Danio rerio: one gene and its partners. The protein of the gene in region 3 purifies or fractionates together with the protein of the main gene of each other region. This does not show direct contact. Links are inferred from orthologs where the notes say so. Each region holds a gene or a part of one and is shown on either strand. Other genes may lie near its edges. The genes, in order: chchd6a, immt and mtx2.

What was found.
Region 1: the proteins of mtx2 (region 3) and chchd6a purify together in Homo sapiens (co-immunoprecipitation; 3 studies listed by BioGRID and IntAct, counting the BioPlex papers as one, with this or other methods). This does not show direct contact. The link is inferred for Danio rerio from reciprocal best matches to the Homo sapiens genes MTX2 and CHCHD6.
Region 2: the proteins of mtx2 (region 3) and immt purify together in Homo sapiens (co-immunoprecipitation; 5 studies listed by BioGRID and IntAct, counting the BioPlex papers as one, with this or other methods). This does not show direct contact. The link is inferred for Danio rerio from reciprocal best matches to the Homo sapiens genes MTX2 and IMMT.

What each region holds. Positions count from the first base shown.
Region 1 is NC_133198.1:37,033,121-37,037,799, forward strand, and holds part of chchd6a (MICOS complex subunit mic25a), read left to right. Parts: intron 1-2,854; coding exon 2,855-2,933; intron 2,934-3,325; coding exon 3,326-3,422; intron 3,423-4,531; coding exon 4,532-4,676; intron 4,677-4,679. UniProt on the Homo sapiens protein: Component of the MICOS complex, a large protein complex of the mitochondrial inner membrane that plays crucial roles in the maintenance of crista junctions, inner membrane architecture, and formation of contact sites to the outer membrane.
Region 2 is NC_133189.1:18,393,854-18,398,532, forward strand, and holds part of immt (MICOS complex subunit MIC60), read left to right. Parts: intron 1-737; coding exon 738-888; intron 889-4,679. UniProt on the Homo sapiens protein: Component of the MICOS complex, a large protein complex of the mitochondrial inner membrane that plays crucial roles in the maintenance of crista junctions, inner membrane architecture, and formation of contact sites to the outer membrane.
Region 3 is NC_133181.1:11,832,831-11,836,874, reverse strand, and holds part of mtx2 (metaxin-2), read right to left. Parts: intron 3,628-4,044; coding exon 3,551-3,627; intron 3,480-3,550; coding exon 3,387-3,479; intron 1,648-3,386; coding exon 1,609-1,647; intron 1,252-1,608; coding exon 1,126-1,251; intron 1,034-1,125; coding exon 957-1,033; intron 1-956. UniProt on the Homo sapiens protein: Involved in transport of proteins into the mitochondrion.

The DNA of each region.
Region 1 (4,679 bases), on a different chromosome or scaffold from region 3:
ATGGACAAACAGAGAGGGCCAATCAAGATCTCGAGCGTATGTTACGTTGTTTGGTTTCCCAAAATCCCGCCTCTTGGAGTCAGCAGCTCCCATGGGTGGAGTACGCACACAATTCATTACCAGTGTCGGCTACGGGCCTCTCTCCGTTTCAGTGTAGTTTAGGATACCAGCCACCAGCTTTTCCCAGTCTGGAATCCGAAATCGCGGTCTCCTCTGCCCACGCCTTTGTCCAGAGGTGCCGACGCACTTGGAGCAGAGCCAGACAGACCCTCCTCCAAGTGGGTGCGCGCACCAAGGCTAAAGCCGATCGCCACCGGTCGAAGCCTCCCGTTTACGTCGTTGGTCAAAAAGTGTGGCTTTCAACTAAGAATATTCCCTTGCGTTCCGTATGTAATAAACTTGCACCTAAATTTATTGGCCCATTCACTGTCATCAAGATCATTAGTCCGGTGGCAGTCTGCCTCAAACTTCCTCCAGCGTACAGGAGAATACATCCCGTGTTTCATGTTTCCAAATTAAAGCCCGTTTTTCATACGGCCATTAACCCGCCCACTCCGGTTCCCCCCCCCGCCGCGTCTCGTAGATGGGGAGACTGTTTATTCGGTTAAGCGCATTCTGGACTCGAGACGGAGGGGACGAGGATTTCAGTACTTGGTGGACTGGGAAGGTTATGGTGCGGAGGAGAGGAGTTGGGTTCCTGCAAAGGACATATTGGATCACTCTCTTATCGATGATTACAATCGCCAAGTAAGCTCTTCTGGAAGCACCAGGAGGTGCTCGTAGGAGAGGAGGTAATGTCACGGTTGCAGGTTTGTGCGCTTCTCCGGAGTGTATGTTGATCACGTGGGTTTGTTTTGTTTTGGTTGTCCATGTGGATTTGTTAGGCTCACGTGTTATGACGTCATTCAGTTGGTCTGATTAGTTCGCCAGCTGAGGCTCATCATGGTGCCTATATCTGGGCGACGCTTTTGTGTGTCTGTGTCAGTTCGTTGTTATCACTCATGTTTGTGTGTCTGTGCTCAGGCCCTGCGGAGTAATCTGGATCTGGTTTTCCCCGTTCTGTTTCCTGCCCTGCGTCCTGCGTCCGTCTAGCCTGACACTATTTGTATTTGTCTTCACAATAAACTTGTACACTTGCTATTGGATCTTCTCTGACTCTCACTGAAACGTAACAGAAATAACGCAACATAAACAACAGAGGTTGAGAAAAAGGTTACTTTTCAATGGAGATTTCCGACGGCACTTAGAGGTTTTTGACTTGGTTAAGTGTTTTATGTTATTTTAAAAATCTTTTATTGCAATTCCAACATGAATGTACTTTACAAATAGACTTAAAGATTAAAACCATTTGAATGTCTGTGAATAATGAGGAACTTTATATTTTTAATTAGCTGCATATTTAATGTTTTAAACGTAGTAATGTGTTAGTAATGCGTGTAACTATATTTTAAACATAATATTTGAATGTGACATTTTCATATTGTTGTCTTATAGCTGCGTTTATTAGAAATAAAAACTTGTTGTGATAGCTTTCTAAATGTACAGTATGTTTTTAGGATAATAATGTTTGAAAATAATAATTGTTTATGTAGAAAAAGGTATTACAAAAGTTTCATTTCTAATAAGTCCGTACATAAGACAACAATACGAAGCAAAACTCATATATTACATTTCATGTTTTAAAGTAATTTATTATCTTTTTTTTTTGCAATTCTAACAAAAATATACTTTACAAATAGATTTTGTGATACAAAAAGTTGCTGTACTAAAGAAAGAAAAAACTAAATGCAAGATGAAATATAATCCAAATCCAACAGGAGAGATGATACACAATAAAGCATATTAATAGCGAATATTAAACGTGGTACAATTTATAGATAGATTTTAATCATTTCCTTGTAGATAAGTAAATTGTTTAAATAGAAGTTCAGTTTATGTTTATATAACTAGGACCACAATAGTGATCTGATTTTGTAATTAATGAATGTTTGTATGGAGAAACAAATAGATTAAAAACATTTTGCCATTTAATTGGATCAATAATCATAAATTGGATTATTAATTCAACCAATTTGCTTGAAAACCATCTCAACATTCTTAAAATTCTTTATTAAAGTTTGTAAATCTTCAGCAATACTGCACAAATAACCTGTAAAACTTCATAAATGATACATGACAAAAAGGAAGATGCATTTTTTTTCACTATATCCATGATTGTTTATCTGTCTGTCGACAAATCATAACATTAATGCTTTAAAATATGTGTTAATTAATTTAGCATATGTACAGTTGAAGTCAGAATTATTAAACCCCCTGAATTATTAGCCCCACCTGTTTATTTTTTCCCCAGTTTCTGTTTAACGCAGGGCAGATTTCTAAACATAATAGTTTTAATATCTCATTTTAAATAACTGATTTATTTTATCTTTGCCTTGATGACAGTAAATAATATTTGACTAGATATTTTTCAAGACACTTCTATACAGCTTAAAGTGACATTTAAAGGCTTAACTAGGTTAATTAGGTTAACTAGACAGGTTAAGGTAATTAGAGAAGATATTGTATAATGATGGTTTGTTCTGTAGACTATCAAAACTATATAGCTTAAAGGGACTAATAGAATAGACATTAGAATAGTTTTTAACAAATTAATAACTGCTTTTATTCTAGCCGAAATAAAACAAATAAGACTTTCTCCAGAAGAATAAATGTTATCAGACATACTGTGAAACTTTCCTTGCTCTGTTAAACATCATTTGGGAAATATTTAAAAAAGAAAAAAAGTTCAAAGGGGGCTAATAATTCTGACTTCAACTGTATATTTATCAGTCACTTTCTACATTTGTGTACTCAGCTGTCTGAAGACGTCTTACAACGCATGAGGAACACCAACGCTGATCCAAGACCACCTGCCAACAATAAAGAAAACCAAGGTATGACATTATTATCGCCTCTCCATCCATAATTGTTTGCTGCTCATATTCACTCTGAACTATTAGACAAGATTTTTAGAATGAAAAAAACTTTCACCAGGTCACATTTTAAGCTAAATCAAATATTCAATTGAAAATTATAATTATCTTTTAGTATACAGTTTTTGTGAATGTTTTTATTTATTTCTATTGATATATTTGTATATCATCTCTTATTGAAATGTAAGTTGTTCTTATCATGTAATGTTTTTATATATTGATCTTGCCATGAAATGGCCATAAGTTGCTGATGTGGCAATAAACAAACATATTCACTTTTTCCCTTATGATATGTAAAATCATTAGTTTGTAATGCAAGTTAATAATTTTTTACATTTAATTTAATCCTGCAGGCCATCAAACTCGAACACCCAGCACATCAGACGCACAAGCTCCAAAAACACAGGCCAAAACGACGTTTCCCGACTCTAAAGAGGAGCTCAAAAAGAGGTACTTCAGTACAGATGTCTAAATCTAAATATTAAACAAAGTTTAATTATTGATACATAATCGGATTTAAATAATATGATAAAATGCAATCATATTACAAATGTGATATTGAAATTCATAACATTAGTATTAAAAAGTAAGTTTACATTAAGGAATACATCTAAATATTATATATACACGTCACCTTAAATGTATTTATTTATTTTTTATTTTGTTGATAACTGACCAACAAAAAATACTTAAAAAGAAAAAAAAAAAAACTAATTATACCAAATTCAATTTGTTACAAAAGAGCATTTTTCCCAACAAAATGAGGCTATATGAAGTGCTAAAAATTGTTTCAATGTTTCCTGTTGCTATTTTGGGGTTTTCATCTATTTTATTTTAGTCTTATCAGGCAACAATCCAAAGTAATCTAAAATTTCACTTTGTGAGTCGTTATTCTAAAGAGATTGTTGCTGTTGTTGTAGCTACTAAATCATATTAACAGGAACAGAAATGAACTGATTCAGATGCGCGTTCAAACTGAAGCGTTCAAAAACGTGCTATAGACTACCATAAAAGGCACTATTTCTACATATAGTTTTGCCACGTTAAAGGGCTCCACAAACTATTAAAATAAAGTCTGTTGTTGCACAAACATGTGAGCATTTTAGTGATTTTTATACATGCAACATCTATTGTAGATAAACCATTAATGATGATACTACCGTTTGTGGCACAGTTTTTTTTAGCCGTAGTGTCACGATACTACCATAGTACTGGTATACTGTGCAACCCTAGTAGGTGTGAAACTGACATTTTCAACCAATTAATTTTTCATTTTCTAAATCGTGCTCCTAATATGACAATACATATATCAGTCGACTAGTATATCTGATATAGTGCTCAAAAATCCCACTAGCAGTGGAGCTCCCAAAAGGGCAGAGACTGCAATTAGAATAGGACTCACTTTTTCCTGGATGCAGTTCAAGTGTGAATCATGAAGTGACAAACAAAGCATGAAACACTGACATGCAGTGGTAGGATTGAGAACTGCAGCGAGTGAGTCATGACTCATGGCTTGGCAACAGGCTTGAAAATCAAGCGGTGTGTGTGTTCCTGCACAGGTATGAGCAGCAGCAGGCCATTATACAGGAGGAATTGGCTCGCATCGCACGCAAAGAGAGAGAGGCAGCGCGGCAGGACATCAGTCGAGCGGTGCAGAGAGAGCGAGCACAGACGCGGCAGGAGTCTGAGAGAGCCAAACAGCTGGTG
Region 2 (4,679 bases), on a different chromosome or scaffold from region 3:
GAGAGCTTGGCTTTCCGCATTTGCTGCTTGTCTCCTTTTAAAAAAGACGCAGCTCCAGTTGGTGTTGATTCATCTGTCTTTTTATTTTTTATTTTTTTATTCAAATGGCAAAGTTAATTCGTATCGTCAGCAGTACTCTTTCAGTGTTTAAAGACAGACCTTAGTCAAAATCATTTCGAAGCTTACAGTACATTAATATCACTACAATATTATGGACTGAAAGATCTGCTGTAAATGCTGTTCTCTGTAAACATGTAAACATTAAAGACCGTCATGTTAATTTCGATGCATTTTGTGACAGGATAGTCTACACACAAACGGCTTTCTGACGACGTGCGGTATCAAACATTCAACAGTCATTAAACAAAGTCTCTGTCTTTCTCCTCTGCATCTGTGTGTTTCTTTTGCCTCAGTGAAAATCAGCGTGTGCGTAAATGAAAAATCCCATTTTTATTCAAATCCTTCCATCTTTCCCTGCCCCGTCACTCCCACCTATACCGCGCTAGACACACCCACTTTCCTGACTTTTTCCAAACTAGAGATGTGAAAACACGCTGTTGAAACGGGGGTTTCATGGCCCTTTAAAATCACTTTAATTCTTAAAGAAGACACAAATAATATGCATTCTGTAATTAGATTTAGCTATGCAACTATGTGAGCATATTATTATTATTATATAACTGATTTTAATGACAGAATCAATGATGTTGGCTAATTTCGTATTTTTATTGAATTAGGAGACTGTCAAACCACTGCAAATCTCTTCATTGTCAGAAGCAACTAAAGACTCCAAACAGCCTAAAGCTAAAGCCAAGAAGTCTGATCCAGCACCTCCACCTTCTGTAGAGGAAGCTCCAGCACCAGCGCCAGCACTTCAGTCACTGGAGGGTAAGTGGGACTTGTACCTTTCTCAAGGCTAATTTATACTTTTGCCCAGTGCCACGTCGCAAACCTCTTTTGAATGCGCACGCACCTCACGAAACGTACATGCCTTTTATACTTATATAGAAGCCCACCGTGAAGTCAGACAGATAAACAGAGAAGTAGAAAGTTTCCCGAACCACGTCATATCATTAACATAGTTCAACATTTTTAAATTTGTTAGTTTTATTATTTTTTATAATTTATGTTAATGATTATAAAGATTTTTAAAATCATTCAAGATTTTTTAAATCATTATTTGACACATCACTTGCTTTTGTTTATATCTCGGACAGTTCTACCTATTAAAGGTAAATATCAATGACAACAGAACATGGGTTGCTCTACAAATATATTTTTTGTTATGGCATAAATAAAGGCCAAAAAGAAGTACATTTACTAAAAAATACTGACATTTTTAATAGAATAAGTCCACTTCACAATTCACACATTATTGTTACTGTCTGGCTAGTTTGTGTCCTCTGCTTTTATACTAAAAAGGCAACACTGGTCCAATATTACCTTTTAATCATTAACTTCACTTTTGCCATGGTCTTTTTTGGCTGTAACAAATGTATCTCTCAGGTTTTTCCAAACTTTTCTCCTTTCTCATGGCTGTTGCAATTTCTAGCTAAGAATTATTGACCATTGGGTTATCCCTAATGATCATACAAGGACAGATCCTAAAGATGTCTGTACAGTCGTACCTGCTTTAGACAAATCTCTTCAAAGTGATTCATATTCAACCCAAATGAAATGTGGCGCTGCTTGAACTGTTCGCTCGAGTCTCAAAAAATTATGTCGCTCACACGCAAAGCGAAACTTTGCAAACACAGTGATGATGTCACATTTGCTGTGCGCAGTAGCGAACGCGTTGGTTATAAACCAGGCTTCAGAACTTTCAGATGTGCAGCAGTTACTCCCTAAAGGCCCTGGTATGCTTAAACAAAATCAATAAAAGTATTGAAATGGCATAATTTCGAACAAAATCAGGCCAAAACGATGTTCGATTTGAGTTTGATTCCGCAGTTCGAAACAGCTCACCAAAGCCAACTTTTTGGGGGTGTTTGTTCTGGCTCCTAAACATCTTTGAGCTAACATTGGTCTGTGATGATTATGCAATTGGTGGGTGTGTCTTGAAACTCCACCTACTTTGACATGCTTCATATTCACAGAGTTCAGAGTCAGACAGGAGAAAAACAGCTAACACAACAACGCTTAGGACCCTATCATACACACGCCGCAACAAGGCGCAAGATGTGTTTGGCGTGATTTGTTGCTGATGAATTCTTGCACGTGACTCTTGCAATTTTCAACTGGGTGCCTCTGGGAAATGCTCATGCGCTCCCAATTTTCTTGTGCGCAAGGACGCGATATGTATAACAGCCCCATAAGCAGGTACTCTTCTCTTTACATTCAGAATATAACTTTACTCTCAATGCTGCACACAAAAAAATAATTTTGCCTGTTTTGGCTTAGTTGGGCAACCATGTTTTTGGGTGCAGGTGTTCTCCTTGGTGACGAGTATTGTCATAGAATGATTTCTGTTCAAATGCTTGCACAAGTTGCTGATCGAGTTAAAAGCAGTCGAAAGTTATTTAGAGACTGGACATAGACTGCATTTTACAGCAATAATTTTTTTTAAGCTCAATAAAATCAAAGTAATGTCTGTATTTCCTCTTGAGGAAGCAGCCACTCTCAACAGCAACCATTTCAGCTCGTGTATAAGGAAAATATAGCATTATGGATTGTTCACATATTGCAAAAAATTGCTTTATACACAAGTAACATATTTAAATGTTGCTTTTTACACAAGTAAGTATTTTGGTCAACTAAGGGAAAATGAATTACACATATCAGGCCAATGGGAGTATAACTAGATATCTATGAATACAGTATGAGTCACATGACGAAATATATTCTGTCATTTGCAGTTTTCAGATGAAATTATAATTTTATGTGTATCCACATAGGATAGCGCCATTAAAAGCTTTAAAAATGTCCTTTGGGATTTCTTATGTATGTAAAATAATGCATATGTTTCTAATCCTGAGCTTGTCAGGATGCCATTATGTAAGGAATGAGTGTTTTATTTGGTTGGTATTCCTGGAAGCAGTGTGTGGCCATTTTGCATTAAGGCCTGGTTAGATCAAAATGAAACCGAAAGCACCCAGGCACTGAGAGTGCTTTGGATTCAAGATCATGTGTTGATATAAGTGTATACAATTACGATTATAATAAATGATGGTGTACTTTTAGTATTATAATAAGATGTTTCTGTGTATATCTGTAGTGTATATTTTGGTGTCACTTTGTTTTGCTTGCAACATGGACAGTTGTCTATTTCCTTGCAGAGACTTAACACAATATCTCACGTCTTATTGATCATGGATTTATTTTCTCCAAACAAGGATACAAATACAACAGTTCTTGGTCTTTATTGTAGTTTGTAAGACTGACAATAGTACTGATGCTATAGTTTATTTGTACACTGAAGTGTGTTTTTCATGTACAGTACGTGAGCATAATGGTTGAATTATGGCTGGGTGTATCCATCTTTGTCGTTTAATTATTTGTTTATGGAATGAGAGATTTATGGGAATAACCAAGTCAGAGGAACCAAAACAAAAAAACTAGCTGTGCACTCATACTCGTACTGTATAAGAGATTGGTAAACTCGGTCCTGGAGGGTCTGTGTCCTGCAAAGGTTTGCTCCAACACTAATCAAACACACCTGCACATGCTAATCAGTGTATTCAAGATAACTAGAAAGCTATAAGCAGGTGTGTTTGATTAGGGTTGGATCTAAACTCCACAGGACACCAGCACTCCAGGAACGAGTTTGCCCATCCCTGCTAGTAAATTTAATAATGAGTTTTAAATTAAAGGGTTAGTTCACCCAAAAATTCTGTAATTAATTACCCTCATGCTGTTCCAAACCCTTGAGACCTACGCTCATCCTCACAACAAAGACATTGTACATGAAATCCGAGAGCTTCCACATTCTCCACAGACTTAAACCTTGACATGACATGTTTAAACTCTAGAAAAGGATCAAAATGCATCATCAAAACATTTGACTTGATAAGAAACTATAAGTAGCTGTGTGACGATAACCGCATCACTGCATTACTGCCATAATGAGACCTTAACCGCAGTGATGTGGTTATTACCGTTGAAGTTGGATTACCAAACTAAAATACTAACTGATGCTTTTTAAAACCGACATGGGCTGTTTCTTCATAATTTTTTTTGTTCCGTCAAATGAATAAAGCAGGCCTAACTTAAATCAACCACTTCATGAAAAATGAGAATTTTTAATGCATCGCTCTTATTGCTATATCACAAAGCTCTATCAACATTTTTGATACAAGTCATTATTTTAAAGATTATGAACTGAGAATATGATTTTACCTCAGATTTTACCTTAATTTTTCCATCTCATTCGCGGTGAGTTCAGGTGACGGAGTATTTTGAATTAGTCAAACTATCCTAAATTAATGTAGCCTGTATATCAGTATATCAATATAGGCTTTGCGTAAAGGCTGGTGAAATGTATTTTTTTTCATTACAGAAGCTATAAACCATTGGATGAGAGACAGCAAATTGCATATATGTTGATGTATTTAAAGTAGGCTATAGGCTATATAACATAATAATTTTGTATAAATAAGTTTACACAAAATGTAGCCTATATATATCACAGTTGTTTGTGATGCAACAGTTACAGTTAATTACATCCTTATTTCCTGTGGAGC
Region 3 (4,044 bases):
GCCCTGATTAATAAAGAGACTAAGCCGAAAAGAAAATTAATGAATGGATTAAAATTTAGAACCTAAATGTTGTGTTCAATCTTTTAAACACGATAATGATCGAAAATGGATTAATTTAAATAACAAAATAAATTATGGAGTTAATTTAATCCAGTCTCATCAAACAGAGCATATTCACTTTAATATAGGTAATAAATGAGTAAATAATGTGTGTAATCTTGCATTTCATTTGAATGTAGCACATGTATTAATTTAGTTGTGCCTGATTTTTTTGTACATAAAGTAAAGTTTCAATTAAAAATATTCTTTCTGGTAAACTGAAAAAAAGCTAATTAATAGCAAATTTTTGTTTTTATATATATTGCATACATTTTTCTATAGTGTCTGGCTTTTATATGAAGAATAGTGTGTTTGTGTGTTTGTGTGTGTGTGTGTGTGTGTGTGTGTGTGTGTGTGTGTGTGTGTGTGTGTGTGTGTGTGTGTGTGTGTGAGAGAGACCTTTGTGCACTTACCTTGATATGTCTGAGAAAATTAAAATAAGCACCTCAGCTCTCAGAGCATAGTAACCACACTAAGTGTATTCATACACACACACGCACACACGCACGCACACACACACACACACACACACACACTATAATTTGCTCTTACACTTCATAAAAATCCATATAAAAGCCAGAAACTTTTTTTTCACAGGCCTATCTAAAACATGTGTTACCTCTTCTCAACAGGGAAAATCAACAACAATCAAGAATGCATAGTGTCAAGGCTTTACAATCAAAAAATGTTGTTATAATGGAAGTCAATGGGGCAAAAACAGCCTCCAACATAACAGAAAGGTAGTCAGTTTGAACAATACACAAGGGGTAACTATCCCCTTAATGCATCCTTGTTCAATCAAACTATAAATTTAAAATAAAACATTTGAATATTACTTATATGTGCTCGAAACATACTGTTTGTTGAAAAAGTAGGGCTGTGTTCCTAATCGCTGTGACAAGGCCTGACAACACTGGCTCACATCTTCATACACCTAAAATCAAGAAAGGAAAAAAAGATTTAGGAAAAAAGGAAAACGCACAAACTGCGAGTGAATGACTTGCACTTCATTTGTGTTTCAAATACCTGCTCCAGGCTCTTTCCAGACCATCCAATGGCGTTCATCTTCCTGCGCACCTCCCACTGCTTCTGATAGGCCAGAATGTGATTGAGGGGCCAAGAGTAGGGGCTGCTGTATCGAGGCCTGGAGATCTGAACATAATACATACCATATTAACAATACTAAAGAGATCACACTGCAAAAATTGCTTCGATTTTATCTGGTTTCTAGTCCAGACGTCTTTAAAATTCTTAAATCAAGAAGCTTTTTATCAACAAATAAAAAAAAATATTGTCATGCTTTAAGAAATTATATGCATTAAAACAATAAACCATTTTAATATACGAGAAAAACAAGCTAAATAATCTGCCAGTGGGGTAAGAAAAATGATATGTGGACTAGAAAAAGGATAAAAAATCGTTTTTTTGCAGTGTAATTTTATTATTTTGACCAAGACATGCATTATACTTGTTTTGTGGACATTCTTGTACATGAATCATGAATCATACCTCTGTAGCAGTAAAGTCGTCACACCACTGGATGTATAACTACAAAGAAGAGGCAAAGATTCATTGGGCTGCACTGTTTACCGCAGTGAAACTGTTTTCCCATAAAATGGTTATGGGAAAGATAAAATACATAGAAATGAGAAAAGGTGTCATTGAAAAAGGTTCACAAGCTACATTTTTAAGCAGGCATTTATTTAAAACATTTATTAAATTATTAACAATTTATTTAAAACATTATATCAGAGCCTTTCATTGCATTTTTATGTAGTGCATATACGAGTACACCCCTCACAAATCTCTCATTTAAATTAATATTTTAAATAAGAAGCTTTATAATATTATATTCGTGCATATACATTAGATTAGTCAATACTGAAGCCAAATCTGAAGCTAATTAGAGTTGTTCAAAGCCTGGTGCTACAGCAAAGCATGCAGCATCCTGAAGGACTCATCGCATCCAGCGCACCCCTTATTTCAACTGTTACCTAGGGGGAGGCGGGACAGGAGCATAAAAGTCCAAACAAACAGACTGAAATAGTACATATCTCGGGGCTGTGAAAATAATGAACGGACATTAAATTTGATGGCTTTCTGGCCAACATTTTACATACTTTTTAACTTGAAAGCTGCTAAAAATCCACTTGCCACTTTCCATGCATGCAAGTATTATAATTATTGTTGTTGTCTTTATACTTCTTTTTTTATCTCTTCTTGTTATTATTGTTGTTGTTTTAGACCATTAGGAATGCACTGAAGGGATGGGCAAACGTAATTCTCGTTGTATTTTGTACTATGACAATAAAGATTCTGATTCTGATAAATCCAACAAAATAACTTGATGATAATGGTCCAAAATTAGTACACCCAAATGTATATGCTAGGGGAAAATATTAAATAATTTTAAAAGAGAAAAATTCAAGAGCAACAAAAGAATTATGAAATTTTGTAGTTTGCCATTTAAAAAAAAAAAATATATATATATATATATTGCATAATTTAAATGTATAGTCTTTCTAAACGTTTCTAAAAATGTTCAGTGATTAAACTATTATTTTAATTAATAAATCGATTTAATAAATCGGTTTTGTTCAAATGCATCAAAATATATGACCTATATTCACTAAGAAATAGATAAAATGTTCGTTTTGAAAATGGGGTGTACTCGTTTATGTTGAGCACTGTATATGATGGAATGTCTCTGACTGGCATGTTGTTAAAACAAGAGCTTTAATCAGATCAGATACACTCTTGCATTCACACACACATACACTAAGGCCAGTTTAGCTTCTTCAGTTCACCTATAGCGCATGTCTTTGGACTGTGGGAGAAACCGGAGCACCCGGAGGAAACCCACGCCAACACAGGGAGAACATGCAAACTCCATACAGAAACACCAACTGACCCAGCCAGGGCTTGAACCAGCGAAATTCTTACTGTGAGGCGACTGTGCTAACCACTAAGCCACCGTGTCACCTTCTTTTTTCTTTTCAACACAAAAGATATTTTAAATATGCAAAGTTAACTGTTGACATCCATAGTAGGAAAAACCAATACAAAAATATATTTTTTGTGTTCAACAGAAGAAAGAAACTCAAAAAAGTTTGAAACAAGTGGATTTTTTGGATGAACCATTTCCTTAAGTATCCACAAAAAAAAAATGAAAAGCACCAAAACAGCCTTCAGAATAGTTCAGCTTTGTGGTTGCGGAAATAAATATCATTTTAAAATAAATTCAAGCCAACTTTTTAACCAAATTGATGTTTGCAGCAGGTCTGTACCTCCGCGGTCAGAAGCATGTTATTGACCAACTCCATGTAAGCCTTCATCTCTGCCCTCTGGACATCATCCAGCCCGTCACTCAGAGAATGACCCTGTGGACAGCATAACGTCAGCCAACAGCCAAACATTCCCATATTCATATGAAGCTGAGGGATGCCGTTACCTTTGCCTTTGTGAACTGAACAATCGGCCCCAATTCGGACACGACCTGATTTCCAACTTGGATGAAAGGAACCTTCCCTAATGAAGGAAAATAAGAGACGATATAAAACATACAAGCTTTAACATTTAACCAGATAATAAAAGATCACTGTTTTTAATAAAATAAACAGATGGCCAAAAAGATACACGAAGTAAACGATACAAAAAAATTTTTTTTGTTAAAAGGAACAAAAAATCTTTTGCAAACAAGCATTGACACGATGCTCAATTAGTCCAAATGGGTCCAAAGTGTGCAGAGAAAATATCCCAGGCAATGTTTTTCCGATCATCTATTGTCCAATTTTGGTGAGCCTGTACAAATTGTAGTCCTAGTTCCCTGTTCTTAGCTGACAGGAGTGGCACCCGGTGTGGTCTTCTGCTGCTGTAGCCCATCTGCCTCAAAGTTGGATGTGTTGTGCGTTCAGAGATGCTCTTCTGCATATCTCAGTTGTAACA